2 linked regions of the Alligator mississippiensis genome follow. The protein of the gene in region 2 purifies or fractionates together with the protein of the main gene of each other region. This does not show direct contact. Links are inferred from orthologs where the notes say so. Each region holds a gene or a part of one and is shown on either strand. Other genes may lie near its edges. The genes, in order: TSSC4 and ECD.

Region 1 (14,879 bases), on a different chromosome or scaffold from region 2:
ATGACTAAATGTTTTTAATGACATTCAAAATACAAAAAGGATCTCTTACTGATCTCGCTCTAATACAAGGCTTTCCTTTCCAGGGAGTCTGCTTCAAGTCCAAATGGAAACACTGTACCTCACAGAACAGTTTCATACCTATAGCTGAGACATCAGCACATCACATCACATCCACAGCCAGAGCTGCTAGCTGCTTGACCCATCAGAAAACTGTCATACATTGTACTTGTACGCTCACGCATGCTAAAAGTCAGTTGAGGCCACTCCTCAGGGATATCTTCACTAGAATATTTCTAGGGATGCTTAACACACCTTATATTTCTTTGATAAAACAATATGCATCCAATAAAATACATTAGAAAGAAAATAATAGTCAGACCACTGTAACAATGTTTAGTTTGCACAGCCCATGGTTAGTTACTTATTGTGCTTTTATTTTTAGTGGCACTGTAGGAGGTATGATTGAGCCCATGACCCAGTCTAAAGGACATACAAGTTGGGAGAGTGTTTCCCTCTCTGGAGGCAGGTCATGCCATCAACTCAGTTCAGTGAGGCCTTAAGGTTTCTTCAGTTCTTTGTAACTCCACATTGTGAGTTCATTTTAAATCTATAGCACTGGTAAGTTATTTCTACATATTTTTGGTAGGAAGGGAAAACAGGAGTTTCTTGTTTTCACACTTGGACCCTTACGTTAAGGTACCTTGTCCTTGTGGTCAAGACCTTGTCGTTGCACCAGGGACAGCCAAGATGGCTTCCTCACGAACACAAAGCACTCTATTACTTCCCCACCGGATACTGCCTAAAATGTGCCAGAGCCAAGCCAGGAATGGTTTTTTTGTAGCTTCATTTCTGAAAAACTCCCAAATACTTGGAAACCATGGAACAGATGCTAGATAAAAGCTTACCATTTCCTGTTCTGATAAAAGCTAGGCTGAGAAAGAAAAGAACAATTTTCAAAAGGTGGTCTCCTAGAACAACACTAAACTCTTTATATGGATATTCTTTATTTCCGTTTCAGGACTCTCAGTCCTCCTCTTCATGTTCTACTTTAGGTCGGAAAACCTTCCTATTCCTTTTTTTACTACTGTGGAATCCTACCGTTCCCCCCACAGCCTCTTCTCCAGTGCCAGGATCTCCTTTTTTGCACAGGTCCTTCAAGTTCAAGCATCCCTCCTCTGCCTTTTTCTCTCCACAGCCTACATGCCCCAGCTCAACCTTATCCTCTACCTTCAGATCACCAGCCCTCTTGGGAGATTTCCTTTTCAAGCTTTGCTTTGTGTTCAAGGATTTCTTATCATCATCCCCTGCTGATCTTTTCCTTCCCAAACTATCTATGCCCATCTTTGTAGGTTTCATAAAGACAATTCTTCCAGCACCACAACTGGAGGGGTCCTGGTTGAAATATGGGATATAGCCATCTTGGGCAGATGAGCTGTGTTCCCCTCCTTTCTTCTTCAAGCCCCCTAGAAACTCCATAGCTACCTCCCTGTTGGTTTTATCACTCGACTCTGAGACTCCCTCCAGGCTGTACTTGGTCCAGCGTTCTGGGTGTGTCACATAGTCGGGGACTGATGGAGAGCTTTTAGTAGTCGGAGGTGGTTTGCCTTGCCTTCCAAAGCTTTCGGGTACCATCTTACTAGGGAGAGTGGCTGGGGGTAGGGGGCGTTTAAACCTCCCATCGATAATGTTATCTTCAGCCAATGATGGTGCTGCCAATTTGGCTGCTCCTTCCAAGCAGTCAAAAATGCTCTGGCTGCGCATGGAGAAGGTAGAGCTCATGCCTTTTAGGTGGAATGGCTGGACAGGCGATTTGAGGTTGATCTTTAAAGACTCAGGATTCTCACCTGAGCCACAAACCACGTCATCCAAAGACAGAGATTCCTCTGGAGATATTGTATCAACTTCAGCTTCATCTGCTAAACCGAAGTCTTCAGGGTCTGAATCACTGAGTGACACTGTGTCTGAGGGTTGAATGCCATCATAGTCAGCAACCTCACTGGCAATTATACCCATAAAGGGCTCGCCAGCACCTTTATCTTCCATTTTCAAGTCGTCACTCAACTGCAGTCTCTGGATTAGGTTCAGCAGCAGCAAATAAGGCCTTCCAAATGTCCAATGAGTTTAAAGCCTAGCGTAAGAAGGAACAAATATAAACTCAACTGCAAAATAAGACTCAAATCCCAAGAGATCCCCATTACCATTGCAGCAGTCCAAGCCCAAAGAATACACTTGACCCAAATAGTGCTAAAAAATGAAACAGAGAAGAATCACTGTATAAGGACTACCCGTTACACTTAGAGCTGAAAAGCAACCTGGCCTCCATTATGCTATTTGAACCAACATATTGACTCTCATTATTTCCACTGATGTTGTACGTGATAGACATTCCAGACCATGCTATGCATTACTACTGGAAACCTTAGGCACCTGTACCCATTCCGTGACCTGAGTGACTCCTAAGCAATTCTTGTTTAAACTAAAAAATATTCTTTACTGCACTAATCCTCAGGGAAGACTGACTTTCCAGCATACAGGGCTGCTTAGAAATCCTCTAACCTGTGTGCTGGTTTTGCTTAAAAACTGCAGATCTTGTTCATTAGTTGATGCTGAGGTATGTTGCTTCTGAAAAAGCCTGAATATCACATGACATTCTTAAACACTTCCTCCAGATTGGTTTGTTTACCTTCAGCAATAATTGAAGGTCACACTCAATATTTATCCTATAGGATTAATGGATGGAAACATGTCCCAAGCCCTAGCAGCATTCTGTCAGGCACTCCCTTGTATTCCTGAGCTACCAGCATGCTTTTTGTTCCCCAAATTCTACAGGACAGGTGATAATGAACTGTTTATCATAAGGACATTGTCAACACACCAAGGTCAGTGGCCTAGATATGACATCATGTCTTACTGAGTTGAAGTACAGGTTTGAACCCCAAATTCACTTATCATTTGCTTGCAGGATCTCTGCCAGGGTGAAGATGGTTAATCTGAAGCCAGAGATGCAGCTGGCCCTGTTAATTAGGACTACTTTGGTTAGCACAGCATCTGATGAAGTGAGCTTCAGCCCATAAAAGCTTGTGCTATATATCTGCTTTGGTTAGTGCATAAGGTGCAAAACTCTTCTGCCTTCTAATCTGAACACCCCTGCTCGCTGAGCAAACAGAGCTGCTAGTGGCTAAGTGTACCTTAGTTCAGCTCTCTTTGAGAAAGAGAGTTATGGAGATAAGAGATTTCTATACAAAGAGGAAAGAAAGAAAGCTTCTGTAGGTAGGAAAGATAGGGCAGGAAGGAGCACAAATTGAAACCAGATCCCTCGCTACACAGGCATGCCTCACATTGTGTGCTCCAACCAGTTGTCTCCAAATAGACAGAACCAGAAATCTAGCAAAGAAGAACAGTGTTAAAAGATAGGCAAACAAAAGGGCACAGCTGATTTCTATTTCAAAATAAAAAATGGAATCACTCCTAGCCTTTATTGATGATCCTTTTTCCATTTGACACACATTTTTTCCCTCTATACTGGAGAACTGATGCAACATAAATTCTCCTTTTGCTTGCTCTCATTTGTATATTAGCATCACTATGAGTTTCAAGACTATACACAACTCAGATACTCTTTTTGTAAAGCTACCTTCTAACATAATGGCTATATTCATAAAATACTATGCATAATGGCATAGGCAATAAAGATATCTAGAATCAGGGCAATATTTCCAATATACTGTAAGAATTTTAAAATAGGAAAAAAATAATCTAAACTATTCAAATAAGTTCTCCTTAACGGCCACATTAAATAGACATGGAATGTCTGCTAGTCACTCACTAGCAGACTGAATCAGTTTTCTTTCCTGGGAATCATTTAAAGCCACCAAGGATCTCAGCTCCTGAACCCTGAAAAACAAACATCTGCATAAAGATAAAGATAAAGATAGATAGATATATATATATATATATATATATATATTTAAAGTAAACCTGAGTTTAACAGGCAAACTTGGCACATTTTTTGAGGCATCCCCATGCAGATATTTCAGAAAAGAACTTTGTAAATCCTGCTAAAACAGACACCACTGAATCCATTCAGCACTTAATATCAGTGTGCAGATTAATGCTAACTTCCCTTCGAATGAACTTTGAGGGGAAGAAAGAGAATTCACAAATGTATTATTTTTTCTGTGGTTTACACTATAAATGATTAAGAATGAAACTCTGCTAAGTAAAAAGAGATCAGGAATTCACCATCATTGTGGTTACCAAGAGTAACTGATTATAACTAATAAAGGATAATAACCACAAGCACTGAACATTGCAGGAAAGAGACAGAAGGACAGAACAGGACTGGATTTTCAAAGTAATTCTACACTCCCAATTTGCAGCAGATATTATAAAAAGGTGTAAGTGATTAGTCTTCAGAATAGCGTGATAGATTTTTTTCCCCACAAGACCTCAATGGGAAATTTGGCAATCTGTCACAAAGAAAGCTGATAGATGGTTTTGAAACCTGGTTCCATTCAAGTCCTGAAAAAAGCATAGGAGCCCCTGAAATCCTGCCCATTCTGTCTTTAAAGCTATGGCATATGGATCAACGGCTTTTGTAAAAATAACAACAATCCCTCAGAACCAGGTGGCCGACTGGGTGGCAGTAAGTCTACCTGTATATAGCCTGCTTTCATACTGATGCCAGGGTGATAGTTGACTACATTTTGGTGAATTAAATTGCCTAACACTCCAGGACTGGTAACAAAACAGTCCCTGTTTTGGGACCCTGTGTTGGGACCCTGGGAACCTTTTCAATTCTGGAGAACATCGTGCTCGAGCAGTGACCCCTACTCCCCAGACAGACTCACAAATTCGTTGTGGTGATCCGAATATGGTACAACTCAGCTAGGACGGCACCTCTCTGAATGGATAGGTCCCCGTCAGACTCTTCCATCCTGGTCTCAGCTAACAGGGTTCTGCTGGATCACTTGTGACCTGCACAGGGGTCCAAGAGTTAGTCACTCCACACTTGGGCAATGAGCCTTTTATCACCATACTGAGTACAGAAGGGGAAAGAGCAGAGACTGGACAACAGCTACGCTAACACTGTAAAGCTTAGTGAAGGTGGCCATATAACTATGCAAACACAAGTCATGGTTTATTCTGAAATAATTTACCTTGGCATTCACACCACAATAAAACCACTCTGGTGTCCAGAATGAACACACAATGACCAATTCACCACACGCTGGCATTTGCAATACACACTACTGTAAGCCCTTGCCAGTCAGCAGATAGGAAGCCTATAGTCCACTGAGCAAAGGACTACCCTAGAAGGAAGTCATGGACATCAGATGGGTACTATCAGCATAATAGAGAGGAGGATCCTGGCAGAGGTACCACCCTGCAGCCAGGGATGGACACACAATCTGCTCTCCCACACTGGCAGCCAGAACACAGGGTAGCGTTGCAGCTTAGAGACCAGTAGTTCTCCGCCTTCTTAGACACAAGGCATCCCTCGTTAGGCCCAAGGCCCGCCCCCCTCTCCCCTTGGAAAACTCTGGCTCTTAGCTTTCACTTGTGTTTTGACTACAGGAAAGATCAAAGAGCAATTATTCAGCTGCAAAGAATAATTTCACAACAGGTCAGAACATTTTTAATGTTGGAGGTTTCAAATTGGAATCCTCAAGTTTATCTTGTGAACTGTGTTTGCACACCTAACAGTGCTACCATTGCGTGGCACCCCATGGCACCCTCAAAGGACTCTCAAAACATCTCAGGATGCTGCAGCACCCTGCTTGAGAATCACTGTTATGGACTAATTATGGGGTGTCAAAGATATGGCCTGGGAGCCATAGATGGACTGTGAAGTATCATCAGCTGCCCCTTCCACCCCCCATGCTGCCCCTGGGACTTGCAGTTGACCCACACACACCAAGCACTGAACCAGCCACAAACACAGGGCCTGGGATGAGTGCCACATCTGATGCCACATTTGATGCCCACTCTGGCTGGTTTGGACCTTATGTTGCATGGCTGGTCCTAGGACCACACCACATGCAGTGTGTGCAATGCAGGTCCGAGACTGGCCGAAGCAGGCACTGCACGTGCTGGGTCTGATACCCAGCCCATGGATGGACCACAGGCCGCTCATTTGGCCTAAGGGGGGGGGGGGGGGGGGGGGGGGGGAAGAATGATGCTGACTGCTGGGCAGATGGGGGGCAGTATGACGTGCTGGGGCTCTCCTCACTTGAGGCAGCTACCCATCCCCTAGGAACAGGAGCTTGCGCTGCTGCCACCGATTTGTGGGCAGGGGCATGAGCTCCCAGGGCCCCATTCACCCCCTAGCCCCACGGGCAGGGCTGAACCCCCTTTGGTGAAGCCTCCCAGGGGAAGGGGGCGTCACTCCACCCTTCTCCCCCTCTTGAAACACTGCTGGGCACAGTGCTCCCCAGCTCTGCCTTGCTGGGAAGAAGGGAGGAGGAACCCCCCACCCCCACAAAGCGAGTGCTAGGGGCGGCTGCTGTGCTTGCCTGGCCCTCATTATGCCAGGGGAAACAGAGATACGTAAAGCTTTCTGGAGATACTTCCCAAACTTTTCCTCAGCATGAACCCATTTATGGCCCCATTTGCTCAGCATGACCCCTCACTCCCAACCCAGAGCCGCCCACCCCCGTAACCCTGATTTCGCAACCCCATCTGGCATAATGACCCACAGTTTGGGAACCACTGGGCTAAGTGCAAAGAAGCTAAGTGCCCAGACCCCCTCAGCAATGAGACCCATCTGCAATGAGGGGAGGGGCTGGGCGGACACGCAGGGTCTCTCACAACCACACGCCCATGCACACCCTTGCCTGTGCACCCAGGCACACACGTGCACACACCTGGGCATGAGAGGCCCACAGCCCACCCCTCCCTGCCACAAGGAGGAGGTGGGCTAAGGAGGGTGATGCTGTTGTGCACACAGCATCGCCAGGTCTTAAATATGAAATTGTTGTATCGGAAGCTCAAAACGATCGTATTTGCTGAAAAACTATTGTCCGCTGCAAAAATATGCAAATAACTATGCAAATAAGCCTTCTTCTCGACTTCCTATTGCTCACGGCAAGTCGCCGGTGAGTCAGCAAGGACTTCAAGTCGAAGCATTTCTTTATTTGGAGGCTAGGGCTGACAGCAAACCCAGGTGTCATCTAAGACTCCCTGAGAGCGACTTCGGATTTGCATTTGCTGCCTCAACAATTACCCTACATTTCGCGCACTTTTACTACCACTGAACATACGAGAGCTCCAATGATCCTACGCAGAGGCTAATGATCGCGCACCTCGCAACACTGCGCACGCGCGCACAGGGCTGCCCTGCCCCCGCATCTGCCCTTCCGCGGGCCGCTCCGCGCCGCATCGCCCCGCCCCGCCCCCTTGCACAACGGGGGGTGGACAACGGCCGTGCCCTGGTGCCTGCCCCCCGCCCGCGCGAGCCCAACGGCAGCCCCGCGTACCTCCGCGGAGCTCGAGCCCAACCACTCCGCGCCACGGTCGCGTTCCTTCCGGGGCGGCCCCTGCCCCTCAGCGCCCTTGGCGGCCACCGTCCGCGCGGGGCAAGCTGGGAAAGCGAGTCCGCTCCGCCCGCGGAAGCTCTAGCAAGGCGCGGGAAGTGGCAGGCGCCCCGAACCACAGCTCCCATGGGGACAAGCGGCAGGATGGGCAGGGCAGGGGGGAAAGGGCAAGGGCAGCTCGTCCCTCCGCTTGGCCTGCTGGGAGTTGTAGTCCACGGACTCTCGGGGGACATTTGGCGAGCCTGCCCCCGCCCCACCCCGCACGGAAGGGACTGCGGCCCCCATAATGCACCGCGGTGTTAGCCGCTCTCGTCGCCGCGCCCTGTTACACCAATGGGGTGGGGTGGGGCGGGGCGGTGGAAGGTAGACTGCAGCCAATTAGGTGCTTGTATTTTGTAAACCGCCGCGGGATAGGTCGGGATGCGGGTAGCATTCTAATCCGCAGCCTTGTGGTCCCCGGTGCAAGCGTTCCCTAGTTCCTCGTGAGGGGTGTGGGGTAGGAGCATCAGAGCAGCCCCTTACGGAGGGAGAAGGAAAGTGAGGCACTAGCAACCGCAGGGGAGGTTAGCACGAGCCGTCTCTGGGTGTAGAGTCGTAGAGAAGCAGGGATGGAGGGCTGCCCAGAGATCATGTAGTCATCCAGGCCCCCTCTTGGGAGCAGGGCAAGAGCTTTCTGTGGCAAGCCACACTTGATCTCCCAACCTGCTTTCTCTGCTAGATGAAGGAGATGTCAACATGCCTCTTGCTTTTAGAGGTGGGAGGGGAGTGGGATACAAAGCCAAGCGTGGCTCATCTGAGATCACTCACACCCATCATGGCTTTGCTATAGGCATGCAGGGAGGGAGAGCCAGGGGGGAAGAAATAAACCTCTACCATCAAAATGAAGGAGGATAGTTTGGCCACCGTGGGGCTGCACAACATGGCCAGCTCTGACCATCAGGGATGTAGTGCAGTGGCATAGCAAGCTCGCTGAACGCCTGGGGCGGGCGGTGCGGGGTGGAGGGTGAGGGTATGCTGGCCACACAGATGGCGGCAGGTGGGGGGTGGGGTGCCTATGGCACGGGCAAGGGGAAGGGAGGTCACACCTGCCTGGGCTAGCGCTGCAGATTCTCAGTGTCAGCAGTGCGAGCTCTGCTGTGGCCAGGCTTCCTCCAGCAGATCCGGGTGTCCTATTTGCTTCCCCCCACCCACCCCAACCCTGATACATGTTGGGAGTAGGGCTGGGGCTGCTTTGCCAAAGGCTCCCCAGGGTCAGGGGAGAACCATTCCACCTGTCCCATTCGCCCCCCACCCCCTAGATATGTTGATGGGTGAAGTGCTGCCCTGCCCAGCTCCCATGGCCCAGCAGGGGCCGCCTAGGGGCTTCCCCTGTCAAGGCAAGGACTCCCAGAAGGGGAGGTGGATGGATTTTGGCAGCCTCTCATAGTTGGCGCCTGGGGGTGGTGCCCTGCTCACCTCATCCTAGTTAACACTATTGCTGTAGCGTGCTGTTTAGATGAACACAGTTAGCTGGTCCAGCCTAGACTGGGCTACAGTATGGCGCTGCTGCCACAACAGCTATATTAGCATGACTGGCAGCAGGGGCCCCAGTAGAGCTATTTCAGGGTTGTTGGTTGTAGCCACGTTGGTCTAAGGACATAGGCAGGCAAGGTTCTTTGGGTAGGTGGGATATCTTTTATTAGATCAACTAAATAGTTGGAAAAAATGTTCTTTGCAAGCTTTCAGGCACAAGCACTTTTCTACCTTGGGGAACATATGACACCAGTAGAGTCTCCCGATGCCTGAAGAAAGGTGTTTGTTCCTGAAAGCTTGCTTGCAAAGACCATTTTTTGCAAAAGAAGATATCACATCTACCCAAATAACCTTGCCTGCTAGTAGAGATGTGGCATTGAATAGCTAAAATCTGGATGAAGGAAAGCTGCCTCAGGTGATTTTTCTAGGCAGGGTCAGAAAGGCAGTAAGTCTGACAGTATTTGGGAGACACCCTCATATGAAGGCCCTTAGCTTCCAGCCAGCCCATAAACAGTCTGGCCCAAAGTCTTTAACACAAGACCAGTCTGGAGCAAAGCCAGCGATGACATTAGACCATGTCCCTAGGGATTTGCTTTAAGGTCCCTTTAGTCCCAGTTACACATCACTGTATAGGCCTGATTTAAGCCAGTGAAAGTGAGAGTGAGTCCTTCAGAAGAGGTCAGTGGGCTCTGAAACAAGATGTAGGGAATAAAAGCTTTTATTTAATTAGTTTTCTCAGCACTGGATAGATAACTCAGAAACAATGTGGCCTTTACTTAGGGGCCTACATATAAACAAAAGCTGTATGTTTGTGCCATGTGCCAGCATATCATATTGGGACAGGAGCTGTATTGTATTCCAAGCTTACCTGCCTCAGGGATTGCTGAGATACCTTTCCTCATGGCTTCCAAACACTGCTTCACCTCTAGCGTTGGTGAAAAATGTGTGATGTTAAAGGCAGGTTATGTTTGTGGCCTAAAAGATCTGGCTGAATCCCTTTAAAAATGGGGCCTCATTATGAGTCATCCATAATATAAACTGCAGCCATTTCATTTGCATTGTCGGTTTTAAATATATATCACAGCCTTCTGGAGTGTTGCTAACTACAGTAATTTATGACCAGAGAGCTGTGTTTGGAATATATTTGGCAGCAATGACAGGCAAGGTTAGAACAAAATGTCTTTCATCTGGCCAGAGTTGTGCTGGAGTTTTAAAACAACACTAATACAGGCTTTTCCCCATTCAAAGATCTGTGCAGCATGGAAATTCATGGGATCGGCCTTTCCCAGGGGCTGCAGAGGGTTGTGGGGTACCACCTAGGAGCTCAACAGGGAGCAGTGTATGGGTGGGTTGGGTGGGTAGAGAAAGAGCATCATTGGAAAGAAAAGAATAAACAGTGGGTGCGGTCTAAGGGAATAGGGTAAAAAAAATCTATTTGCAGAGTAGAGGGTAGTATTGGGAGCATGGCAGGTGATGCACTCTAAAGTGTGGATGGGAAAGGGCAGGAAGAGAGCAGGGGAGAAAGCAGCAGCCGGTCCCATTTTGTAAGATCAGGCACAAGCCGTCTATCACATGGCGAGGTGGATTTGGAGTTTCACTGGAATCAGAGAGAGACCGTTTTCCAGTCCTCGTTCAGGTGCCAAAGTGGCCAGAGGCGTGAAGAGACCTTTCTCCATCACTGCCACCTTCAGCACCCAGGTGCCTTGTGGGCCATGCACCATCAGGAGATATTTTACTTCTTTTGTGCTCCACTTTAGTTCCCTTTTTAATGGCTTGTGTTTCCTGCCTGCCTGAGGGCTGAGATCACTGTGAAGTCTATGTCGCCCTCCCCGCCCTTGCAAGTTGCTACCAAGGCCCATGTGCTGCGAGGCATTAAGGCTAGATTTGTTTTTCCTAGAGGCTGGTGGCAGAGCAGTTTGTGCTGGCGGCGTGTTGGGGCTCTTGCAATTGCTTGGCGACACCAAAATAAAAATAGTGAGTCAGGGCTCAGAGATGAACAGATGGTAAAGCAATTTCTTCTAGCTCGTGTGAGCGGAGGCAGCTTGGTAGGATGGAAACACAATTCTAGGCAACAGCGCAGGAAACTGTCAAAACGAAAAAGCCGTGTTTTCTGAGTACTTCTTCAGGGGTTGTTTTATCACAGCCCAGGGGATCTCAGGAGAAGTAGCCCTGCACAGCTGCAGAGGAAGTGATCATATCCCCTAGAGGCGTATGCATATGCCTGCTGGTCCTCAGCCCTGTGGTGTGAGGGCTGTAGCCCAGAATAAGCGGACAAGCTCACGCAAACCCCTGCATACTGGGTGCTCCCACCCTCAAATACATCAGCACAGTGCAGAGCAACCAGTCATTCAGCCTTTCCCTCCACACAGCTTTAGCACTTTGCTAAGAGCCCCCCTCCCTCCCTCCTTATACAGCTGCTGAAGTTTCCTGTTTCTGCTGTTGTGAGACCCATCCACAAGCAACAGGGGCGAGAGGCTGTCAATCAACCACTCCAGCTGCCCCTGGGGAGAAAAATGATGGGGCCATCCCCAGGTAGTGTTGAGAAGTCCTTCATGGAAGTGCCAGCTCCAGGATTCTTCCATCAAGGAATGGGTAGGACCCAGACTCACCTTTGGGAAGGAGAGCAAACAGCATGACTGTGCTCCAGGCAAGGGCTAGCTTCCAAGCTCTGCGTGGTCTGGCAAGCAATTAGATACATTTTCCAAATCTCCTCATGCCTTGGGTCAGCTTCACTGAATAAACATCAAAATAAGCTTGGTCAAGCTGTCTTCAATAGTCATAGAGGGTAGATTGTTTTCAAAGCAAGCAAGAAAGGGACAAGAGATATTCTCCTGTAGCCAGAGCAAAAGGCACAATAGGGAAGATACTTTCTGAATATCTTAAAAGAATACAGGGACACAGAGCCAGGGGTTCATATAAAGAACAGCATCCTTTCCTCAGTGGCATGTCTCTTCCATTGATATTGCTCTAGAACTGGGGCTGCATTCACAGGTCTGTTACTGCTGTGCTCTGCTTATATCCTGGCCAGGGGAAGGAGGGAGAAAGGATGATAAGAGGGACTTGAGACCACCTACACTGAGACCGTTCTCCATTTGTGGGGCTGGACTGTGCATAACCTAGAGCAGTCTCAGTATCTCCAGTGTCTCCTACAGCTCACAGAGACCATTCTCCCAGATGAGATAGAGGAGGCACAGGTCAGGTCAGCTACGCCAACTGAGAGCAAATACATCGGGGTGGGCAATTATTTTGGGCAGAGGGCCGCTTACTGAGTTTTGGAAAGGTATCGAGGGCCGCATGACGGGCAGCCAGGGGCAGATAAATATTAACTTTCTAAATTTTTTAGGGGCCCCGTGGGCCGGATAGAATGGCTTGGTGGGCTGCATGTGGCCCACGGGCCGCATTTTTCCCACCCCTGAAATGCACCTACTCCAGGGCACTCTGGGCTCCTTGCTATGCATGGCACATTCCCCAGTAGAAATTTGCATGAATCATGCACGAATACTGTCATGAATCACCCCTTTGTACCAGAAAAGAGGGTGGCCATGGCCATAATGAAACTGGCCACTCCCACCAGCCTCCACTTCATTGGGAACCAGTTTGGCATGGATCCCTGCACAGCCGGGATGGTAGTACATGAGATATGCCAGATGCTGCAGGAGGGAAGAGGGCAGTGGGGTCCCCCCCAGGGCTCTGTCCTTGGGCCCGCACTATTCAATTTCTTTATTAGTGACTTGGACGATGGGGTGAAGAGCAAGCTGTTTAAATTCACAGACGACGCCAAGATTTGGGGTGAGGTGGGCACACTAGAAGGGAAGGACAGATTACAGCAGGCCCTGGACAGGTTACAGGGGTGGGCAAATGAAAATAGGATGGGATTCAATACTGACAAGTGCAGGGTGCTGCACTTGGGCAGTAGGAACCAGCAGCATACCTATAGGCTGGGGAACTCCCTTCTCGAAAGCACGGTAGCAGAAAGAGATCTTGGAGTCATTATTGACTCCAAGATGAACATGGGCTGACAATTTGAGAACACTGTCGGTAGGGCTAACCGTACCTTGTCCTGCATCCACAGATGCATCACAAGCAGGGCCAAGGAGGTGATCCTTCCCCTCTATGAGACACTGGTCAGGCCGCAGCTGGAGTACTGCATCCAGTTCTGGGCGCCGCACTTCAGGAAGGATGTGGACAGGGTTGAGAGGGTCCAAACAAGGGCCACTTGCATGATCTGGGGACAGCAGGGCAGACCCTATGAGGAGAGGCTATGGGACCTTAACCTGTTCAGCCTTTACAAGAGAAGGCTGAGGGGGGACCTGGTGGCCTTCTATAAACTCACTAGTGGGGACCAGTGGGGTTTGGGAGAGACCTTGTTCCCCCAAGCACCTCCTGGAGTAACAAGGAATAATGGCCATAAATTGCTAGGGAGTAGGTTTAGACTAGACATCCAAAGGCACTACTTCACTGTCAGGGTGGCTAGTATCTGGAACCAACTTCCAAAGGAAGTGGTGATGGCTCCTACCCTGGGGGTCTTTAAGAGGAGGCTCAGTGTTTACCTGGCTGGGGTCATTTAAGTCCAGTTTTCTCTCCTGCCCAGGGCAGGGGGTCAGACTAGAAGATCTACAAGGTCCCTTCCAACCCTACATCTATGAATCTATGAATATCCACACACACACATGCTCTCTCACCCCACACATCCCCATACATTAACAGTCCCCCACAAACCTATACCCATGCCCCCCACCCCTCCCACAATATACAAGAGTAAGACTTCATTTTCAGCTATTATACAACCACCTCTGTGTACACTACACAAACACATGTAAGCCAGGTCAAAAACTTATTTTTTAAATCAAATTATGTTTTAGATGTGTGATTTTTAGAATATAATTTGGTATGTTTCTGGTTCTGAGATGGTAAAACCCCTTGCTGAAAGGAGTATTCCTCGGGGCAAAAGGAGGGACTTCTGGTGGCAAAGGCCAGGAGTTAGGGGGCAGGACTTCTGGTCACAAGATGGCAACCAGAGGGCAGGGCACCTGTCAAGGGACGGGGCTACCCATGCGGCCCTTGACAGCTTACCAAAACTCAGTAAGCGGCCCTCCGCCTGAAATAATTGCCCGCCCCTGACTTAGTAGAACAATGAACAGACCCTCTACAAAGTCTCACCCCAGCAAACACCCCCAACCCAGCAGAAGAAATGTGGGTGTAAAAGGTCCCCATGCTCTTTTTGAATAGATCCTATTAGCACATCAAGGGCTAGGCCAGACATCAAGGTGCCAGAACCACCAAGTAATCTTGCAGGCATAAATGTCCCAAATCTCCCTACACCCAGTTTTCAATGTGATGTGAATTTTGGGAACCCATTAACTCCTATTAGATGTTAAATGCTCAGAGCAGAATACACCAAACAGAGCCAGACCTCACCTCACCTCCCCTGTTGTTGCAAAGACAGACAGCTGGACAGCTGTCCAGACAGCAAGGGAACTCTGGGGACCCATTCAACTCCTATTAGGTCTTAAATGCTCAGAGCAGAACCCACCCAACTTGGCCAGCCCTCACCCACCCTGTTGCAATTTTTGGTGCCAGTCAGCGGCATGTTTGCCTACCAGGGTCAGGTTTCTTTACACCAGGCATGGCACAGCAGCCATGGGGAAAGCCCCACTGCACTGTCCCTGCACCCCAAAAAATCCCTGTCAATGAATGGCACAACAGGCTACACAGTGACCCATGTGTCAAGACACTGCTTCTGGGGGCCCCTGGCAGACCAAACGACTGCCTGCCCAGGAGCATGCCTGCCCTCTCCCTGGTGTGGGGCAGGCACAAGCTTCGGGTCTGATT
Region 2 (15,098 bases):
GGAACATACTATGCACATCCCTGTAAAAAGAATACTTCTCTATGCAGCATCTACTTGGTGATATAAACTGCTAATACCCTGCAAATTCTCTCTGCAAGCATGCTACAGATAAATTAAAGACTCGCTCCTAATATTTCCCAAATAATCAAACAACAAAAACCAAGAATCAGGCATATAAATGCAAGATACGAGTAAAAGACCATTACCAACTTCATGCCTAACTCATGTGCTTTGTATTGATGATGTGAAGGGGATGGAAGTATATACCCACTGCGTCGGTCTGGAACAAATTTCTGCTGCATTAACTGTGCATATAAACACTTGGTGAATGTGACCTGTAAACATTAGAAGGAAACATTAGGAGGAAAGAAGGAAAAACAAGGAACTTGCATCAAAGCATGATATTTTCTACTAAAAAATCCCCATTTTTCAGTCCAAATTTTGTTTTGGACCTACCATGCTACAAGTTACACTTAAGATGTTACCCAAAAGACAGACAAAATGAGTTTCGCTCTAAAAATCTTGGATTTAATGTATAAAACAAGAGCACTTGGAACCTTGCAAAACACAATTTTAGCATAAGGTAGGGCTGTCAAAATTATTAATATTATTATTACTATTATTAATAATAATAATAATAATAATAATCATCATCATCAAGTTTGGCTGTCAAATCCATTTTTAGAAGCCTTACGTAGTTGGTCTGATTTTTGATGTTAGCCAAACGTCCAGCAGTATCTAGGGGAGTAATGATAGAGATTTTTTGGGCCAATATTGATGGCCAATTTTTAACAAGCTATATTGGCCGATACTGACCTGATTGCTGATATGTGGCCCAGTAGCATGGAAAGTAGCATCTGGCTGGTAAGTCTGTTGTGGGGGAAGGGAAAGGGCGTGGGGGGGGCGGCAAATTGAGGGCCTTGCGATGAGGGAAGGAGTGGGGCAGGGTGCGGGATGGAGCCGTGGCTGGTCCGGGGGCTGCGGGGCATGCTCCCCAGATGTGTGCAGGGCACTGTGGGTGGTGCTGGGCTCTTCCTTGTAAGGGGGAGCTGGGCTGGGACTGCGCTTGGGGCAGGTGGTGGCGGGGCTACAGCAAATTTTGGGGTGGCTGCAGCCCCTCCCCCCTGGCTGTGGTCCCCCTCCCAGCGCTGCTGTCCGCCCCAAGTGCAGCTCGGCTCAGCTGCTCTCTGCCAGGAAGAGCCTGGCACTGCCCCCAGCCCCAGCCTGCAGTGGCAACCTGCCCTCACCCCACACAGATCTGGAGGGCACATGCCACAATGACTCCCCCAGGGGTGGTGTAGTGGTAGAAGCCGTTCCCCTCCCCACATCCCTTGGACAAGTCACGTGGCTCCACCCTGCGCCCCCCTTCCCCCAGTGAAGTGCCTGTGCCTGTCCCTGCACTAGCTCCACTCCCTCACCACAGGGGCCTCAGTCTGCCCGCCCCCCTCCACCGTGCTCCTTCTATGCCCCTTCCCCCACAACAAACTTATCAACCAGACGCTGCTCTCTGCGCTGCCGGGCTGCGCTCCTGGCTGCCTGCATGCGGTGTTGAGGCTATGCATGTGCACACAGCATTTATAGTGACATTACTGGCTACATCAGCCAAAAAAAGCTAATTGCTGATAATGGCAATTTTCCTTTTAATCAGTTCTGATATGATATAGGACCAATGTAACCACGTACCTCTAGTAGTATCCACTAACCTCAGTGAAAGTTACTAGGTAGTTAACAAAAATCTAGCTATTTAGACTCTTAAATCAATATTTGAGGCACTCATGCTTGAGAACGCAGACTTAAAAGAGAGATACATGCAGGCATCACTTCCATCCTGCTCATTATTAAAATAGGGCCACATGATGGCAAGAGCAACACAAACAAAATCCACGTCAGTTATTGAAGAACACTGTATCCTAGAAACTCTCAAAATTCTGCATAGTGTAGACTATGATAGGATGAATCTTCTAAAAGGTTGGAGACCACTGCTAAAGTAGGTGATCACCTTTGGCATTTAAAAGCAACCCAAGATCTACTGTGCACCCCCCCACTCTTCCTGCCCAGCAGGTAAGTGCAGGGGTGGGGTGGGGATCAAGGCAGAAGGAGAACAAATTATTTAGGGGCACGCCTCCCCAGCAGGTAAGTCCCACCTGGCTGGGGCTCCACTCAACTTACCCCTGCTCCTGCCTCTGAGACCCTGCCCCTCACCGCGGGGGCCTTGATCTAGACCCGGTCTCTTCTCTTCCCCACAGACTGACCTGTTGGGCTGGAGCATACTTGTGCATGCACATAGGCACTCAGCCCCCCACCCCAGCCTCGGATTGACTCTAAGATCTACCACAAGAGGCTCTGAGATCTACTGGTAGATTGAGAGCTACTAGTTAGTGACCACTGTTCTACAGAATTAGGAGTAAGGAAAACCTGACTGTCTAAAAAGCTGTCAATTTCAAAGGAGATAAGGGAGGGCCTCCTCTACTCTGCATAAAAGTTTCTGGGTATTGCAACCTTCTATAAAACCTTTGGTTGTCTTCCAGCTAAAGTGGCAGAGTTGTACAGCTGTGGAAGTATGTCTGCTGGAGCTGGTCCTAACATACATGGCTTACTTTGGGATGTATGTGGAAAGAAAGGGTGTTGGGGGGGCAGGGGGAACTGAGGAAAAAATGCTCAAAGAGAAATGACCATTTATGTTTGCTTGCTTTTTACCCTTTCTTAATTAAAATTGAAATATGTTGCCTTATTAAATTCCTTCAAACTGGATCCTTAAAGTTTGTGGCAGAATGCACCAGCAAGGTAGCAGATAATGACTACATCTTAATACAAGGATTTAATAAGCAATTCCCCTTCCACAAGTAGCCAAGTACCTCCTTTGTAGCAGTTACAGCTACAGCATACACATTAAACACTACAAGGAAATGCTTACATTTTGCTAGCTAGCTAGAAGTTGAAGGACAGCACTATGCCACTGGTCAGTTCTTTGAAGACCAAAGGTGTTGAGATTGCAGATGGGAAAGCCTAAATCACTGCAGTTTTGGAATTGGTCTTAAATCCTTTCATAATAACAGAGAAAAGCTTTCAATGCCCCAAATGCCCAATTAAAAAAATTGGTCAGAATAATGGAGTCAGTTACTGTGCAATTATTCAATGATCACAAGTGTTGAGGGCTACCTGTGCATTTCATCCAGCATTTCAGTGACTGCCACCTGAACTAAAAAGCAATGTTTCAAAACAAAATAAAGCAATTCTAAATTGGCTTTTCTATCATTTCAGAATTATTTTGTTGAAGAAAAGAAACTCATCTGCTTTTAATAATCTAGTTCCACAGTGAGTACAAGTAGTAAGACTTAAAATACCTTAAATAAGTAGAAACTTATGAATGCTTTCAAGAAAAGTTAATCAGAAATGTACTATTTTTAAAACTGAAAGCTGTGCATTTTCCTAACACAATGATCAAAGAAACAGCATAACAAATCAGTCAGTCACGAGACAGAATAGGTTACCAGCAGAAATATCACTTACGCAACTCATCACACGCGTGTCTGGAGGGAAAATTTTGAAAGGATGGCATGCTCTTAAGTCAATGGGATCTCGCAAGTAGAAGGCCTCGACTGCAGCAGCAACCAGAGAAGGGCGCTCCTTCAACACTCCCACAATGCCTGCTGGAAGGAAACAGTGGGCTTGGTGAAGGGAGGCCTTGATTTTGTCAGGATATCTGTTTCAGGCAATGATATAACATGTAAAAAAAAAAAAAAAAAAAAAAGAAATATTACAAACATGACCAGATATTCTTTATGCAGATATTCAACAAAAGGGGAAACAATGTGTGTGCACATTATGTACATTTACAAATTACAGTAAAATCTTCGGTAACCGGCCCCTTACAAGCCAGCATGCTCTGTTAACCGGCATGCCAGCTTGTAAGGAAAAGTGAAACTGGAAGTGCCCACTGTGGCACTTCCGGTTTCTCCGAGACCCCATGATTGGTGGGAAACCAGCTTGCGCTGCAGAGCCCCCATGGCCTGGGGGCATAACAGGCTGCGGGGGGCCCGCCTCCCTGTCCTGCGTGGCCCACAGGGCCTGCGGGAGGGGCGGTGATGTCGTGGGAGGGACAGCGACGCCCCAGATGTGGTGAGAGAAGCGGCGGCCCGAACAGGCAAGGATGACTGTTCGGGTCGCTCAGTTAACCAGCATATTTTGTTATCTGGCATCCCCCATTCCTGGTGGATGCCGGATAACAGAGCTTTTACTATACTTTAGAATCTCTAGTTAGAAAACTAATCAACATACAGCGTGGGTTATACTTACAAAACTAGTATAGCTAGACTTTGAGAGGTTTAAGTCTCTCCCTCCAATTTGATAAGTCCTTTATTGTGAAGTGGCCTAATCATCTAGCTTACAGTTCCTTAATATTAAACAACAGAATCTAATTGCAGTCTTTTTTAAGCCTAAAGTATTCCGAGAAGGAATCTGTTACCAAACCAGTGACCCTTGCTGACCGTTTTAGGCATACCAATGGAAGTATTCAAACTGCCAGCAAGGAAGACTGACAAGTCACAGCTGTCCTTTTACAAACAATTAAGAAAAGCCAAAATCACACAGACATATGATATAATTTTAGCCCTGTACCTTTGTTTTTCAACACCCTCAAATAAGAATATAGTATACCACCTGTGTGCGTACAGGTGGGTTTACCAGTAGAAAGAATGTCCCAGAAAAAAAAGTCTAGCTATTAGTTTTTGGAAAAGTGGCAAATCTCATTGTAGTTGACAAGAAAATGGATTAGATACTAGGAAATAAGTGCCCTAGACAACCCAGAATCAAAGCATTCACTTAAAGAACATCAACCCCCCCTCTTCCCTCCCCAAACAACCCAAAACAGTCCACTCACCCACTTATGCGTTTATAGACTGCTGTTCTAATAGGTTTTGCAGCCCGGAACTCCTCTAAATGTGCAGATAACAGCGCTAAGACCTGGGGAATTGCTGGACTGGAGGCAGGCTCCTCTCCACAAGTCTTTGATTGTGGGATGATGCACAATTCTCCTCGGTGAAAGAACACCTAAATATAAAAGTCACATCAGAAAGGAGCACATTTGCATATAGACTAATAAGTTATCTGTTAAATCAGGGGTGTCAAACATATGGCTTATGGGACAGATTCAGCTCATGGAGTTGCTTCCAGCTCACCAGCTTATAGGTGGGCCACTGGCAAATGAAGGGTCTGGCCTGCTGCAGCATCCAGGGCTTTTGGGCCCCAGTGGATGTGGTAGTTGGTGGCAGGACGGTGAGCAAGGGCTGATACAGCCTCAAAAACCCTCCAGCTACTTAGCCTGTCTCCACTGCTGTAGCCCCAGCTCCATGGTTGCCACCCCCATTGCTGCCTCATGCCAGAGCTAAGAAATGCCATCACGGTGTGGTGCATGCGATAGAAGCTTTGGATCCAGAGGGTACATGGTGAGAGCTGGAGCTGCTGTGATCTTATCATGCCATGTCACGAGCTGCAGCTCAAGCTGCAGCATCTCCCAAGCTGGATCCAACCTTCAAGCAGCCCCGCTGCCACAAGGATAGGGCCCCTCGTGGCTCCCCCACCATTTGCCCTGAGGCATGCATGTCAAGCAAAACGCCTTTGAATACTATGCTCTGGCATGTGTGCCAGGAGTTGCCAATCCCTGTGCTAGACCATGATCAAAGAGATTAAGCTGATGATTATCAGACTCTTTACAAACAACAGCAAGTTGTAGATTTGTGAAAGAAGCAAGAAAATAAAGCTACTTAACTAGTTTTATTTTTGTTCTAAGTTGGAATTGAATTTTAAGCCTACTAAATAAGAGGGTACTGCACTGAACTCAATACACCAGTAAGTTAATTTGAATGAAAATTTTACTTACCCTATTGGCACTATTTTCAGGGTTCAACCATTTTGGAAGGAAATCAGCTGCTTCTATCAATAGGAACTCACCATCATTGTCATCAAGCCTACCCAAAATTAGGTTTTTATTAGAAAAGGCTCTGTATAACACAACAACTATTCTAAATGATTTACTACTTCAGTAACAGAAGGCTCCATTATCTTTTCTTTCTTTTTATTCCTTTGTAAATCCTCCCAACCAAAGACAGAAACTATTATATATTTAATGATTTCAGTTATTTAGTTTTTTTAGGGCAAATAATTTTTTCCTCAGACTGTTGACGCGCTAAGATTTTCTTTTGCACATTCTTATATGAGAATCTACTAGTATTTCCATTACTTGTATAATGTCACTTAATTCAGTTCAAACGTTCTATAGTCATGTAGCTAGCAGGAATGAGAGCCGTACTTTGAGCCTTATATTAGGAAGAGGTCAGAATATTATTGTGCTGTACAATTTTTCCAAAATTCAAGAAAAAGATTAAAGGAATATAAAATGACCTATGAAGTTTGTGAAACATCAAGCACTATACACATTATTGTCACCCTAGATGGCACACCTAGCCCATCTCTCCCTGAAGAAAGGCTACAAAACATTGTTATGTAACAATTTGATTCTTTGAAATTCAAAACACAAAAATCAGTACCCTCCCTCAAGCCTTGTAACAAAGCACTTACTTAGCTTTAACTTTAAAGAGACTAAAGCACATGCCTAAAAATTTAGTACATGCTGAATGGGGATTATTAATCCACTCCCTTTGGACTATCCTGGTAAAACAGTGTGGCAACAGCTATCACTAAGAAAAAAATTGATTTAGGTCTCAGGTTATAGTTTCACCAAAAAATAATAAAATTGAGTTTGCTTTGTTAAGAATACCTTGCTACTAGCTCTGGAAACTCTTTTGTTATCTGCTGTAGGAGGTACACAATAAACCATTCATCTTCAATATTATCTCCAAACTCAGTCACACCCCCAATATGTGCAGGAACACCACCTGGACAAAAAAAAGAACAGAAATTGAGTGACCTCCTCCTTAGTCCAAACCATGTTCTTATCTCATAATTTCACAAGGGGTTGGGGGGAATGGGGATTGAAGGCTTAGTATTAGTATTACAGCAGTAGTTCAGCAAATCAAACCATATTTACCCAAATCTTCTGTTTAACATGTGGGGGGGAGGGGGGAGCTTGTCTTAGATTCAAGTACTAGCCAGTGGAAAGGCAGGTGGCAGCTACAGCTCCAACTCCAGCCCGGAGCCGGGGTTACCGTGACAGCTTCTGCTTGCTCCGCACTGCCTCTGCCCCCACTCGCCACGCTGCCCCCCCTCCGGCAGGGCTTCGGCCCCACTGCAGCCGAGGGCAGCACACAGCAGTGGTTGCTCCAGCCCCGCGCAGCAGCAGCAGGAGCGGCACCCCAACAGCCACTGCACGGCCCAGCTGCAGCTGGAGCAACCGTGCGCCGTGCCCCGGCGGGGGGGCAGAGGGGTCGGGGTATGCAGAGCCACCTCCCACGTGGGGACACGCGGCGGCGGCCCCAGGAGAGCGGCGCGGGGCCGTACCTCGCGCGGGCCGGGCGCGCAGGGAGAAGGGCTCGCGCTGCCACACGTAGGAGACGAGCAGCGGCGCAAGGCGGGCCAGGACCCGCTCGGCGCAGCGCGGCAGCGCGTCCTCGCCCTGTTCAGCGCCCGGCGGCAGCAGGAAGAGCTGGTAGCGAACCGCATCCTCCGCCCGCCGCCACAGCGGCTCCATGGTCGAGCCCGCTGCGGGGACCTAACCCGCCCCGAGGGGTCACGCGACGGCTGGTGGCCAATGCGGGGTGGGTTTCCGCCAACGCAATAGTCCCGCGCCCGGCGCACTGCTGCATCATCGCCGCGCGACAGCGCCAGCGCCTGGGTGGGGTGGAGTGGAGTGGGGTGGGGCGTCACCATGGCGGCTGGAGGCGGCGGCGGGCGGCGCCGGGGGCCACGCTGAGGTGGCGGATCATGGTCTCGCGATACACGCGGAAGCCGGTTCCCCCCGACGTCCTGGAGACGTGAGTGAGGTGGGGCCGGGCCGGGGCTCCAGCCGTGGGCTGCCCCACTCGGCCTCTCAACAGGCCTTGTGCCCTTGCTCTGGGGTAGGAGAGGTCCGGCGGGCAGGACAAGGCTTCCGCCAGGGGAGGCTCTGGGCGGCAGACTGCAGTCCCCGGCCCGGGCATAAACTGCTCCTGACTTCCGAAAAGTGTCTTGGGCTGTTTAGTGACCGCAGGCGCCGTCTGTGCCTTGGCAGAGCACGCGTCCGCCGCGTCCTACAGCTTGACACCGCGGCCCTGACGTGTGAAGCGCTTGGGGAGCTTTCTGGTTGGACAGCACCTGGGGCGTACTAGCGTATTAGGTGTCATCTTCAGCCAGGGCAGCTAGGATAAAGTTAGGTGGATTAGTATCCCTCTCACTTGGTGGGATAAACCAGTTGTTTAACATACAGAGATTAGGAAGGAATTTCCTGGATGGACATATTTTTGACTTGGGAACAATCAGAGAGATAAACTCTGCTGACCTCATGTCTATTGAGGCATTAATCATGAAGGCCCAGCTGGGCATGTGGCTCAGACAGACCACGCATGAATGTCCAAGTAGCTCCTGTTCAGTAGAAGGTGTCCAGGGACAAAAAGGGGAGTTGCCTAAGAAAGTACTCCAAGGATAGCCTAACGACCAGGGATCCTGCTTTTCTGCTTATACATCCAAAATTCTGTGATTAAAAAATCCAAAGTTTTCTGATTAAAACCTCCCAAATCCATGTTTTGCTGTGATTGATTCTCCCTCCCTCAGATTGTGGCCACCTCAGTCTGCCCCCCTGCCCCCCACCAAATATTGCCTATGACCCCCCTGCCCTCTCACGTGTCGCCTATGCCCCCTCCATAAACTTACCTGCAGGTAGCTGGGGGAGCTGCTCTCCACCACTGCCTGGCTGTATTGCTGGCCTTGTGCATGTGAGCCTGCATCCCATTCCCTTTGGCCCCAAACAGCCTCTTGCAGGCTGGAACTCTGGCAGCCTGCAAAGGGAAACACACTTTAAAGGAGAAAATCCATGTTTTTCTGTGGCAAATGGAAAAGTTGGCTAATGACCAGGGATCCGGGTTTTCTGTTTCCCACGGAAAAATGGAGAAAATCACGGATTCCCTGTTTTTATTGCAGAAAACACGGATTTCTCTTTTTAGCAGAGAAATCCGCGGATTCTCCACTTCTGCAAAGAGCTCTTGCAGGCTGGCACAGCTCCAGCCTGCAAGAGCTGATTTGCAAAAAGGACGGGAAACCCCCAGCCTTGGTCCAGGGGGAGGGGGAAGGGTGGGGCCTGAGCCTCTGAAGCAGCCAAGACTGGGCTTAGGCCCACACTCAGCCTTCGCCCCTGGAGCATGGAGGTAAGTGGGGCTTGTGGCAGGGCTGGGGAAGATAGTTGGGGGCTGAGGGAGTTGTGGGTGCTGGCCCCAGGTGGCACATCACAGCTGGGAGCAGAGCCAGGGGTGAGGGCAGGGGTGCCCCTCTGCGAGGAGCTTTGCAGGCAAGTGAAGTGGGGCGCAGTATGGTGGTGCCTGCCCTGTGCGGGCTGCACATATGCTGCCCTGCTGGCTGCCCGGAGGAGGGGGAGAGGGAGGCTGGCATGCGGTCGGAGCACAGCTCCCTGGCTGGCTCTGCAGCCACGGTGAGGGATGGGGGCGGGAGCTTGCGCTGAGGCTCGCATGCGGTGCTGCCTCTTACATGGAGGCTCGTGATGGCGGTGACAGCCGCTGCCTACAAAACCTCCCGCTGCCACCACGGAGCCATGCCTGCAGCTGTGCGGCCGGCCACTGGGTGGCATCGGCAGCGTGGTGGTGGCTGGGCAACACACAGCCATCCCCACCACCACCCTGTGCTGCTGCTGCCGGCCGCACAGCTCTGGGCATGGCTCCGCAGTGGCATCGGGGGGGGGGGGGGGGGGGTTTGTACACAGCGGCAGTCACTGCTGGCGCAGGCGGCCCCACAGGTAAGTGGCAGCAGCCGCCACCACTGCCGCCACCCCGTAGGGTGAAAGAGGAGCTGGAGTAACTGGGGTGCGGGGGGCGGCTGGTTCCTGGGCACCAAGGCTGAAGTAGCCCAGCCATGGGCCATCTCTGCCCTACTCAGCAGCCACAATGATGGTGATGGCAGCCATAACACGTTGGCATTGGCAGCCGTGATGTCCCGGGGCAGCAGTGGGGGGCAGACGCCAGCATGGGGGCAAGGTAGGGCTGAGCCCGGAGATGCTCTGAATCTTGGCTGATGGTCCCTTCCTCTTTCCCCACTGGGCAGGCCTCAGGCAGCCCCAGTGACGCAAGGAGCTAGGCTTGGGGCCTGCCCTCGGGGGTTGTGGTGCTGCAGGGACCCCCCAGCCCTGGGGACACTGAGATGGGAAGGACAGGCTGCATAGCCTGGGGTGGGGGTGTCTGGTGCACCCGTCCCTGGGATCTCAAACCTTGCCACAGGGGCTGCTGTGGGGAAAGCATGTGTGTATGCACGTGCGCATGTCCCAGATGTCTGGGTTTTGTGAGCATGTGTCTGTTTCTGTGTCCTGGACGCCTGGGTACTGTGTGTGCATGTCCTTGACACCCGGGTCCTATGCATGTGTGTGTCCAGGATGCGTGCATAGTGTGTGTGTATATGTGTGTCTGGAAGCCTGGATGATATATGGAGAGATTGGGGGGGGGGGGGTGAGAAACCTGGGTGTTGTCTGTATGTCTGTCCCAGAGGCCTGGATTCCATGTGTGTGTCCTGGATGTTCAGGTTCTGCACGTGCATGCATGTGTGTGTGTCCCGAATGCCCAGGTTGTGTGTCCTGAATGCTGGGGGGGCGGGGTGTCCCAGAGGTCTGGGTTCTGAGCACATATCCCAGACACCTGGGAGTGGTATGTGTGTGTGTGTGTGTCCGTCCCAGTATCCGTGTCCCGGATGCCTGGGTTCTGTGTGCATGTCCTGCTGTTACTCACAGCATCTGCCCAGCAAACCCGTGCCCTCCAGTTCCCAGACCCCCATGGCCCCAGAAGCTGCACCTGGCAGGGGTCAGAGGCCATTCTGGGTCCAGGCCACCAGGTGAGGATGATCTGGGCCCAGCTGGGCTGCAACCTCCCCTCCCCAGTGCCGGGGGCTGCTCCATGCTGCTGGGCACCCCAGGCTGAGCTGGACACCAGGCTTGAATAGAGTGGGAGGGGGGGCAGGGGACTGGTAGGATCTGCTCTGGGTCCCTGCCACCATTTGGCGGCTCAATGGGTCTGAGCACCACAGGGCAACAGAGAGATGATGGGGAGAGAGAGAGAGAGAGAGAGAGAAAGCAGGAACAGGGATGGTGAGAGGTGGAGATGGACAGAGACAGACGGCTAGATGATAGGTGTATGGATAGAGGGATAGCGATATGTAGGTAGAGAGAAATAGAGGTGATGAATGTGTGGGTGGATGGGTAGACAGGGTTATACGGTTGGTGTGTGGAGAGGAGTAAGGAATGGATGAATGGACAGGGGTTATGGAGATGGATGGTTGGATGAACAGATGAATGGGTGGATGGGGTTATGGAAACGGACAGATAGGTGACTGGTTCATTGGCTAGATGGACAGATAACTAGATACATGGCTAGATAAATAGAAATATCTATGTAGGTAGATGGAGATCGAGAGAGATGGATAGAGATGGATAGAGATAGTTGGATGGTCTGCTTCATTGGATGGATGGATAGATGGAGATGGACATAGGTAGATGATGTATGGATAGAGATATCTAGGGAGATAGAGATAGATGGATAGAGAAAGAGGGATATAGGTACATAGAGACACAGAGAGATGGATATAGAGATGACTAGATACAGATACCTAGATGGAGAGAGAGAGGGCAATAGAGACAGAGAGATGGATAGAGAGGGACAGATACATATAGCTAAATGATACATGGAGAGATTAATAGAAATATCAGGGTAGAGATAGATGGAGAGACAGATAAATGGATAGATGAAGACGGATAGATAGGTATCTAGGCAGATAGACAGATGGATGGCCAGAGATAAACATAGAGGGACAGAGGTGACGGGTGCTGCATACAAAACCTGCTGCAGCCACAGAGCCATGCTCAGAGTTGTGCGGCCGGCAGCAGTGGCGCAGTGCAGAATGGTGGTGGGGATGGCAGCCTGCTGCCTGGCCACCACCACGCTGCTGCTGCCGCCAAGTGGCCGGCTGCACAGCTCCAGGCACAGCTATGCGGCGGCAGCGGACAGTTTTGTAGGCAGCGGCTGTCATCGCCAACACGGGCCTCCAGGTAAGCAGCAGCGCCGCGTGCAAGCCCCCGCCCTCCGCGCCCCCATCCCTCACCGTGGCTGCAGAGCCAGCCACAGAGCTGTGCTCTGGCTGCATGCCAGCCTCCCTCTCCCCCTCCCCTGGGCAGGCGGCATGTGTGCAGCCCGCACATGGCGGACACCACCACACTGTGCCCCGCATCGCTTGCCTGCAAAGCCCCACGCATAGGGGCTCCCCTGGCCTCACCCCCTGGCTCTGCTCGCAGCTGTGGTGTGTTTCCTGGGGCCGGCAGCACCCCCGCTTCCTCAGCTCCCAACCATCTTCCCCAGCCCTGCACCACAGCCCCCATGCCCCACTTACCTCTATGATCCTGGGGCAAAGGGCATGGCTCCGCGATGGCAGTGCTTGCCTGCAGAGCCCCCCCACCCTGCATTCAGCCGCCGCCACCACCCTGCACCACCGCAGAGCTGTGCAGCCAGTTGCAGGGCATGCTGCTGCATGGAAGCCCCCTGTTTCACCCCCCGGCTGGGTGGCACGTATGTGGCCCACACATGGTGGTTGCCACTGCGCTGCTGCGCCCTGCGCCCTTGCCCACAAAGCCATGCAGGTGGCTGTGGGATGGTAGTGCAGGGTGCAGTGGCAGATTTGCGGTGGCGGCCTCCATGTGCGAACCTCCTGTCAGGCCAGCCAGCCGGCATGTGTGTGGTCCGCAGAGTGGCACCCCTGCCCTCACCCCTGGCCCTCCTCCTGGGAGTGGACACAGGGGCACCCCCCCCTTTGATCTACCCCCCCAGCACCTTCCCTTTCCCCCGCTCTGCCCCTTTCCCCAACACACACTTACCTGCTGGGGTGGGTGTCAGTGTCTGCATGGCTGGGGGGCTGTTGCAAGGGGCATCAGGAGGACTGTTGAGACTGGGGGGGGGAATGCAGGGCACCAGCAGTGTTGTGGGGGGCCTTTAATTTTTATCATGGATTTGGGGTTTTTAATCAGAGAATTTGCAATTTTTAATCAGAGAAAACCAGGATCCCTGCTAATGACACACTTAATATGAATCTAAGCTACTGACTAACTCTTGAGTTCTCAGCCAGACATAGGCAGCAACAAAATGCTAAGGTGAGGGAACCACAAAAGCAGATCCCAGGGCAGGAAAGGCATGGAAGATGAGGGGTGAGTCCGTAGCAACAGCTGGTTAACTTATATTGAGTGCCCTTGGAAATGTAGTGACAAAAGGTACCTGTTGTGCATAGATTTGCGCAGTCATTTGTGCATCCATTTTGTGCTCAGGTCAGTCACCTTAACTGCAGCACTGTTACCCTTGACCTCTGGTTCTCAACTTTATCAGACTCAAGGCACTTCTCATCAGATTCAAGGCACACCTTGGAAAATGTCAGCACTTAGCATTACTGGCCCAATCCCAGCACATAGGGCAAGTTGTGGGTGGGGGAGGAGGGGGAGCAGTACTGGCCTCCAAGGCCTGATCCTGGCATCTGGGGCTCTGTCTGGCCTGTGGACCAGCTTTGGGCCACTCTTCTGGCCAGTGGGGCAAAAAGGTTGAGAACCACTGTCCTAAATCATTTGATAGTAGTCACTATTGGAGATAACATTTACTCCAGCATCCAATCTGTTAGGGAAATCTCCTATGATTATGTGGCAGAGTTACAGTGATACCACCTGACGAATTAAATGTAAAAACAAAGATATTTTAATAACTTTCAGCTTGGATAGTACTAAGGAATTTGGCACTATACTTTCACAAATTAATGTCAGAGGCAAACCGAGGCTGCAGTCCTGCATTGTTTAATTTTAGGTAGAACCCTGCACCACTGCAGAGAAAACTGAAGCGATAGCACTCATTTCAAGAGCAATGCTTAAGTTTTATATTTTCACTGATAACTTCCATTTTCTCCACCTTCTGAGTTCAGATGTGCACAAACCATGATTGATTTAAAAGTCATGAGATTTTACAAAATAATAAGTTTGTGTACTTTATATTTGCTTTATTGTTTTGCTTTTTGGTACTGTCATTACATTTTCAAACTTTCCCACAGCCGTGAGGGCTGGAAAGCATATCTGAAAAAACAAAAAACAACAAATAACAGTTACTTGTTAAGGCTCAAGTTTAAGGTTTGGATGATAATAAAAATCAGTAAAAGAGTACTGATAGATCGTTAGTGTAGTGACATTAATGTGGGGACATAAAGCAGGTTCAGCTATGTATGCATGCAGTATTTTTCTTGAAAGCTAGTAGGATCCTTTTATGCCCTAGAAGGAGTTCCGAGTTGTGAGGTTTATTGTCACAACTCAAGTCACACTATGCTTTTTGTTTTGTTTTAGACGGAGACTTACAAAAAATGCCTTAGCACAACATCCCCTGCCAGAACTACTAGATGACATTTATTCAGCTATCCCAAGCACTGAAAGTTATGAAGAAGCTTCAAGGTATCTGAAATAGCAACAGACACTTTGTTTTTGTCTGAAGGCAATAAGATAAACAGACATCTTTCGATTCTGTCCTCAGATATCAAAATGATAAAATTATGTCTATAAAAGCAAGTAAAATATCTGTAAAAATTATGCTTGAGATTACATCATCAGCAACATAACTACATTACTAATGCTTGATTTCCAAAGATAGTACCATAGGCCTCGGTCCAATAAGATGGTTTGTTCAGACCTTTGCATCTGCATAAATTCTCTTGAAAATGGGACACAGGAGAGTCACAGGGATCTGTCTGGATGGCACTGCTTCCTAGATTGAAGCCATTGGAGACAATTTCATCCCAACATTTTCATCCTTTTCCAGCAGCTTAACCCAGGCTTGGCTGGGATGCTCCAGACAGGGATGATCCTGCCTTGAGCTGGGGACTGGATCCCCTGATGACCTCCTGAGGTCCTTTCCAGCCCTGCTTCTTTATGACTTCCTACTATTTCT

The links.
Region 1: the proteins of ECD (region 2) and TSSC4 purify together in Homo sapiens (affinity purification with mass spectrometry; 3 studies listed by BioGRID and IntAct, counting the BioPlex papers as one, with this or other methods). This does not show direct contact. The link is inferred for Alligator mississippiensis from reciprocal best matches to the Homo sapiens genes ECD and TSSC4.

What each region holds. Positions count from the first base shown.
Region 1 is NC_081825.1:188,808,898-188,823,776, reverse strand, and holds the start of TSSC4 (U5 small nuclear ribonucleoprotein TSSC4), read right to left. Parts: upstream 7,584-14,879; 5' UTR 7,479-7,583; intron 4,978-7,478; 5' UTR 4,851-4,977; intron 3,895-4,850; 5' UTR 3,827-3,894; intron 2,129-3,826; 5' UTR 2,044-2,128; coding exon 1,024-2,043; 3' UTR 1-1,023. UniProt on the Homo sapiens protein: Protein associated with the U5 snRNP, during its maturation and its post-splicing recycling and which is required for spliceosomal tri-snRNP complex assembly in the nucleus.
Region 2 is NC_081829.1:60,090,201-60,105,298, forward strand, and holds the start of ECD (protein ecdysoneless homolog), read right to left. Parts: upstream 7,683-15,098; 5' UTR 7,646-7,682; coding exon 7,456-7,645; intron 6,894-7,455; coding exon 6,776-6,893; intron 5,967-6,775; coding exon 5,879-5,966; intron 5,050-5,878; coding exon 4,880-5,049; intron 3,704-4,879; coding exon 3,511-3,703; intron 336-3,510; coding exon 207-335; intron 1-206. Other genes in the region: primary cilium assembly protein FAM149B1, read left to right, coding at 7,879-7,928, 14,501-14,605. UniProt on the Homo sapiens protein: Regulator of p53/TP53 stability and function. Inhibits MDM2-mediated degradation of p53/TP53 possibly by cooperating in part with TXNIP. May be involved transcriptional regulation. In vitro has intrinsic transactivation activity enhanced by EP300.